Linked DNA regions of Arabidopsis thaliana. The protein of the gene in region 1 interacts with the protein of each later gene in a pairwise test. Each region holds a gene or a part of one and is shown in the gene's direction. Other genes may lie near its edges.

Region 1 (3,758 bases):
TTATCGATAATATTTAAATTTTGAATAGTAAAATAATAATCGATACATTGTTCTTGATATATAATTTTGAATAGTAAAATAGTAGTCTTATGCATTTTATTTTGTTATACCCATTCAATCTTATTGATGATATTTGAAGTCTAAATAGTAACCTACACACTTTTTCTTTATTGTAATTTAGTATTTAGAAGAAAAAATAAAATTTTATCTTATACATTCAATTTTGTAATACAATTTAACTATCTATTTCATAAAAAACTCGATTTTAATTTTACACACTTCATCTTACTTGATAATGATTTCATGTCAAAATAATATATATATATAAGATCAAATCTATATCTTAGTTAATATTAAAAATTATTAACAATTAACAAAACATAATTCATAATAATAAAACATTTGTTAATACCATATATATTAAAAATTTGACCAATAACATATATATATATTTTTTTTGTTAATTTTCCTTTTGGTTAAGAAAAATAAAATGTAATATTTTTTAGATATAGAAATATGAATTAGTATATGTTAATAATGATTTCTTTTTTTAGTTTTCTATTTCTTTAAGAAAAAAAAAGTTAATTATTTTCTTACACATGGCAACATCTGATCGATAGACTTGACACGTGGCATAATCTTATGAGTTAGTAACTTTGAAAACCATACTTTATATAATAAGATTTTTTTTTGTTAATTTTTCTTTTGGTTAAGAAAAATAAAATGTAATATTTTTTAGATATAGAAATATGAATTAGTATATGTTAATAATGATTTATTTTTTAGTTTTCTATTTCTTTAAGAAGAAAAAAGTTAATTAATTTATTTTTTAGTATTTCTATTTCTTTAAGAAGAAAATGGTTAATTATTTTCTTACACATGGCAACATCTGATCGATAGACTTGACACGTGGCATAATCTTATGAGTTAATAACTTTGAAAACCATATTTTATATAATAAGATGTTGATTTATTCTTACTTTTTTTGCTATATCTTTCCTTATATTTCATACTTAATATTTTTTTTTTGTTTCTAAGATACATACATTAACTCTCATATTTATTGTCTTAACTAAATTTTACTTTTATTTGTACACGTGGCTTCCCCCCACAATATTTTTGACCCAAATCCAAAAAAAAAAAAACACTATCAATAATATTTCCTCTTACCATTTATGTCTTACACACAAGTGTCAAAATATAGTAGAAGACATAGAAAATGTTTAGATTATGATTAAATATCACAAAACTTTTGTGACATAAATCATGATCCATATGCATCCAAGTTCTAATAATAGGTCGATTCGATCTTGTAAAAAAAAAAAGTAATTAATAGTAAAAGATTTTGTATTGAATTTTGAGATATTTTTCTCTCACTATAAAAAGATGAATTGTGTAGCTAGAGATCATAACAAACTCTGAGGAGATTCAAGCTAAGGTACATTTACAAAAACTTATTTTAAATTACAATGGGTTGTTGCATTTTCGAAACTGATCCTACAGACCAATAAGTACTATTCAGTTAATTTGAAAACACTTACAAAAAAAACTAAGATATAATTTAGCAACTTTAACATTTTTTATTATGTTTGTAGGGACATTAATGGGAAACTGGTGTAGTTGTGTAACAAAAGATGAAAATAGTGATAATTCTAGTAGCTCTCAAACTTCTACGGATAAAGAAAGTAGTGTGCAAGTTTCTTCTGTGAGCACTACGTCTTCTTCAGAGATTTCATCTGAATGTTCTTCTTCAAAATGATCATCTCAAAGCTCCCAATGATGGAAGCGTAACTAGTGAGCAAATGTCGCATGGATCATCTTCTTCATCTTATCAATAAAAAAATCTTCAAAATAAATAATTTTCTATGTCAATTTTTATATTAAAAGAAACTTTGTTAAAAATTATGACTATTAATTAATAACTATATTATTACATAATCTTTTAAATATAAGTTTTAGTTTTAATTTTTAATAGTTGCTTTATGTCATGCTGATGTGTTGCTACAACAAAATTCTTAGCAAAATTTATGCATTTTTTTCTTAAAAAAAGAGAGTTCTATAAGTATAATCCAAGATATATTCTTGTACTTAATACGAATAATTAAAGTTATGATTAATCCATAAAGTTCTATTTCGATGACACGGTGTCGTATTTGAAGCGACGTGGCAAATCCTTATTGGTCTATATGACGCAGAACGGGAATTGCTCTGAAGAATCCTTTCTCAGGCGAACGGAGTTTGGAGTCAAAATCCAGAGCGCGGGGAAACGAAACGAGCCAACAAATCCGCCATGGCAGCTCGTAAGAGAGCTTCATCGATCTCAATTCCCAACAAACCGGACCCGTCGGAACCCAACTCAGCGCCATCGGAGCAGAAGATGACCCGAAAGACGGTTTCTGCTTCCGGTGAGGAATTTCGTCTCGCGCCGCCGAAATTAGGAGTGATCTTCGTGATCTCTACTCTTCTCTGTTCGCTCTATCTATACCTTCTCTGTTTTCACTACAAGGTTGATAATGAGCTCAAGCGATCGATTCTAATTAACGCGGGGCTTAGCTTGGTTGGGTTTTTCGTCACTCTCAAAATGATTCCTGTTACTGCCAGATACGTTCTGAGACGTAACATGTTTGGTTTTGATATCAACAAAAGAGGCACGCCTCAAGGAGATATTAAAGTGTGAGTTTTTATCAATCTCTGATTTTCCAAAGATTAAGATTAGTTTGATTAAAATTTCTTCATCCTCTTTGTTTTCAGGCCAGAGTCATTGGGTATTGTTGTTGGTATTGTCTTTTTGATCGTGGCGATAATATTTCAGTATTTTAACTTCACTGAAGATTCTAATGTAAGTGTGCATTAACGTCTTGTTTTATTAATCTCTGTGGTTATTCTCATTATCAATGTTTGTGAGTCTGGCTGATGATTCTGTGCAGTGGCTTGTGGAGTATAATGCAGCACTAGCATCTATTTGCTTCATGATTTTGCTTGGATTTGTAGATGATGTCCTTGATGTGCCTTGGAGAGTGTAAGTCCTAATTCCTACATATTTTTTTGATGAAATTCACGCTTATCGTTTTTGATTCACATGTTTACTGTTGTCAATTTAAACAACAGAAAGCTTGTCCTGCCATCTTTTGCTACCCTTCCACTTTTGATGGCTTATGCTGGTCATACAACTATTGTTATACCAAAACCTCTTGTTGCTTATATTGGCTTGGAAGTGCTTAATCTAGGTAATGGTTCTTGTACATGATACCACCTATTTGTACACATTGACTTGTATTTTTCTTTTGAGGAGGTAAATGATTATGATTAGCTCAATAGATGTTTTAACGTGGCAGGAAGGATATATAAGTTATATATGGGGCTACTTGCTGTCTTTTGTACAAACTCTATTAACATCCACGCTGGTCTGAATGGCCTTGAAATCGGTCAAACAGTTGTTATTGCCGCTGCTGTAAGTCTTATGGTCATACATAATGTCTCTGAATTTTTCTCATTTTGTTTCTTTTGGGTTGAGATATGATGCATCCCAGTTACCTGTAGATCCTGATACACAACGTTATGCAAATCGGAGCATCTGTTGATCCCGAGTATCACCAAGCTCATGCCTTCTCGATATTTCTTACTCAACCGCTGATGGCCACATCCTTGGCAATGCTTGCTTACAATTGGTAAAATCCCTAGCAGGCTTTCTCTTTAAAACTTTTTTTTTTTGAGTGGAAGTAATGATATTTCTGACCAGTTCTCGCAATCTTCTGCTG
Region 2 (3,758 bases), about 17 Mb from region 1:
TAATAAGAAAAAAAAATTATTGACGTCAGATATATACTAATAAAGTATATAACAAAGGACCCTCAGTGCATGTAATTAATATATATTTTCCAATAAATATCAAACTATAGATTTTCTAATGTATTTAATGTTATTATTTCTAACTAGTAATTAATTGATAATTTGACAAATAAATTTTTGTTTCACATTATTCTTATATAAAACTGTAAATGATTTGTAGCAAAAATACAAAACTGTGTATATAATATACTTTATAAATAGTTTCTATGTATTGGATCCAAGTAGGATTTCGAAGACTTTGAAGGGCACATCTTTTTCAAAGTTTACTTATACATATTTAATGTAAGATAAAGTCATTGTTTATATGTTTTTTTCTAGAACACTTAAATTTCCACAATATGATAATTTAAATTAATTGAATTTTGTTTTACTTTGGTTGGTTTGTGGATAAAATCCAAATATTACAGTCACTATCTTTCGACGTGTCTCACTTGCAACCTAATCCTTTTCTGGAATGTAGCTTTTTTTTTGTTTGTCAATTTTATTTCTTTCTCTCTTAATCCATAAAAATTTTAGGCATTTTTGTATTACTGTCAAAGAACTGATTAGCTATGTCTTCTATATATCTAAAATAAACCATAAGAATCATAGTTCATACTCATTATGGTATTCTTAATTTTCTGAAACTATCGATAAAATGTTAAAACGTTATATACAAAAAAGGACTATCAACGTAGCAATAAAATGAATTTAGACTTATATGAAAGCTAATGGTGACGAAGAAGTTGACGGTGATGCCGGTCATTTGGGTCGGTGGTGGTTCCGTCACGGAGACTTTGACGGTGCATTATTGACGTCAACATGAAGTAGCTCTCACAAAACACAAAAAGGACCGTTTAGTTTGCTAGTTATTAAAAATATAATGGGCTTCAAGCCCATAATAACATGTCTTTTTACAAAACAGAAGCCACGTATTATATAAACCCATTTTTTAATATATAAATAATTGGGCTGTACTTGGGCTTGGACGGTTTCACTCTTTTATTTTTATTTTTTTAAAGTTTTTTCTATATTAGTAATGATATATTTACAGTGGAAGCCTTTTTGGCGGAAAGTTCTATTAATACTTATACACAAAGAAATTGAGGTTCAAGTCCCAAATACTGTGATTTATTAGCAGATAATGGAGATAAGTGTGCAAGAGATCTCGAACGATGTACAATTATAACTGTTTGCCAGGATTTGAAGATCTTTCAAGGTGTCCATCAAAAGCATGAAGACGGAGAAGAAAGTGTCGTCTTTCGTGGATCTAATAAAGATCGAAACAAATTACCCATAATAGAATCGGCTATATAACGGTTCTCATAAATCATAATTTGCAATAAATAATAAATCTAAAACGGTAAAAGAAAAATATATTTACATGAAAATAACATGTCATTTTAAATATTTCCAGAATTAAAATATAATTCCAACTGTCAACGGTCCATATACGTTATCTATAGACTATATAGTACATAAATTATTTTAAAAAGACAAATAATTTGTTTCGAGAAATAATGTTGCTGTCTCGTCAAAATTGGAAAAAAAATACATTTTAAAATACAGAGAAACGAATTATTGAGAGGAGAAATTTAGAGACCATTCAGGTTTTGATTGAAGAAAAAAAAGATTCCCATTTTATCATCTTTTTAGTTTTTAGTGTCAACTCTCCAACAAAAGCAAAAACCTTAAAGAATTTTGTTCTTTTTTTAAAGCAAAAGAACCAAACATGGTTTCACATGAATCCCAATTTCATTGCAAAGCATAACTAAAAATAAAGAAGAAGACTTTTTGGAGATCGAATCTGTTCATGTTGATGGGTTTTGGCTGAGCTTTCTAGAGATAGAGCTAGAGAGTACTGGGTCTGTGTAAAGTTGATAACTTTTTTTGGTTTAGAGAGAGAAAGGACAGAGCTTTACAGAGATGGAGATGAAGCAGATGAAGTTTCTTACTCACCAAGCTTTCTTTTCCTCTGTTCGATCAGGAGATCTTAGTCAACTTCAACAGTTAGTTGACAATTTAACCGGAGATGAGCTAATCGATGAGTCATCGCCGTGTTCTGCTGTGGCTGAGCTTATGTCTGTGCAAAACGACGCCGGAGAGACCGCCGTCTATATCTCCGCCGCAGAGAATCTTGAAGACATTTTTCGTTACTTGATTAGGTTTTCTAGTTTGGAAACAGTTAAGATCAGATCCAAATCCGACATGAACGCTTTTCATGTCGCTGCCAAGCGAGGTCACTTGGGTATGTCTCACTAATTCTGACTTCAAATCTTCAAACTTTGGCTCTCTGATTATGATTTTGAATCTGAAATTGCTGAAAATGGATTTGAATTTCGTAGTTTGAAGATATTTTGATGTGGCTCTGCTTATGATCTCCAGGAATTGTGAAGGAGTTACTGAGACTATGGCCAGAGCTTTGCAGAATCTGCGACGCTTCCAACACGAGTCCGCTTTACGCAGCTGCGGTTCAAGATCACTTAGAAATAGTAAATGCAATGCTTGATGTTGATCCTAGCTGTGCAATGATTGTGAGAAAGAACGGGAAAACATCTTTGCACACTGCGGGAAGGTACGGGCTTCTTCGGATAGTGAAAGCTCTCATAGAGAAAGACGCAGCGATTGTTGGTGTTAAAGATAAGAAAGGTCAGACTGCTCTTCACATGGCTGTTAAAGGACGAAGTTTGGAAGTAGTCGAAGAGATTTTGCAGGCTGATTACACAATATTGAATGAGAGAGATCGAAAAGGGAACACTGCTTTGCATATTGCTACTCGAAAGGCGCGGCCACAGGTATTACTCCACTCCTTTCTTAGCTTCTTGTATTGCTAGTTAGCTTTCAAGAACAGGGGTTGACACATAAATGCCTTTTGTGTTTTGTTTATTAGATAACGAGCTTATTGCTGACCTTTACGGCGATTGAAGTGAATGCGATTAACAACCAGAAAGAAACTGCTATGGATTTGGCGGATAAGCTGCAATATAGCGAATCTGCTTTGGAGATCAATGAGGCTTTGGTAGAAGCTGGGGCTAAGCATGGGAGGTTCATTGGTCGAGAAGATGAGGCGAGAGCATTGAAGCGAGCAGTGAGTGATATCAAACACGAGGTGCAATCGCAGCTTTTGCAGAATGAGAAAACCAACCGTCGTGTCTCTGGGATCGCGAAAGAGCTGAGGAAACTCCACAGAGAAGCGGTTCAGAACACGACTAACTCCATAACGGTAGTGGCGGTTCTGTTTGCTTCCATAGCGTTCTTGGCCATATTCAACTTGCCGGGTCAGTATTTCACGGAGGGGTCGCATGTGGGACAAGCCAATATTGCAGGGAGAACCGGATTCCGCGTGTTCTGTCTTTTAAACGCGACATCTCTGTTTATATCGTTAGCGGTTGTGGTAGTTCAAATAACTTTGGTGGCGTGGGACACACGGGCGCAGAAGAAAGTTGTGTCTGTAGTGAATAAGCTAATGTGGGCAGCTTGTGCTTGCACATTCGGAGCATTTTTGGCGATTGCATTTGCGGTTGTTGGAAAGGGGAACTCGTGGATGGCGATTACCATAACGTTGCTTGGAGCACCGATCTTGGTAGGGACATTGGCAAGTATGTGTTATTTCGTGTTTCGGCAGCGGTTTAGGAGCGGCAACGATTCACAGAGAAGGATTAGGAGAGGGAGTAGTAAGTCGTTTTCATGGTCTTACTCTCATCATGTATCCGATTTTG

The links.
Region 2: the proteins of GPT (region 1) and AT2G01680 interact in a protein complementation assay, tested with the Arabidopsis thaliana proteins (one large-scale study listed by BioGRID).

The regions. Positions count from the first base shown.
Region 1 is NC_003071.7:17,299,472-17,303,229, forward strand, and holds the start of GPT (UDP-glcnac-adolichol phosphate glcnac-1-p-transferase), read left to right. Parts: upstream 1-2,100; 5' UTR 2,101-2,290; coding exon 2,291-2,673; intron 2,674-2,751; coding exon 2,752-2,839; intron 2,840-2,927; coding exon 2,928-3,019; intron 3,020-3,108; coding exon 3,109-3,227; intron 3,228-3,335; coding exon 3,336-3,451; intron 3,452-3,540; coding exon 3,541-3,668; intron 3,669-3,758.
Region 2 is NC_003071.7:304,632-308,389, forward strand, and holds the start of AT2G01680 (Ankyrin repeat family protein), read left to right. Parts: upstream 1-1,619; 5' UTR 1,620-1,965; coding exon 1,966-2,287; intron 2,288-2,424; coding exon 2,425-2,834; intron 2,835-2,929; coding exon 2,930-3,758.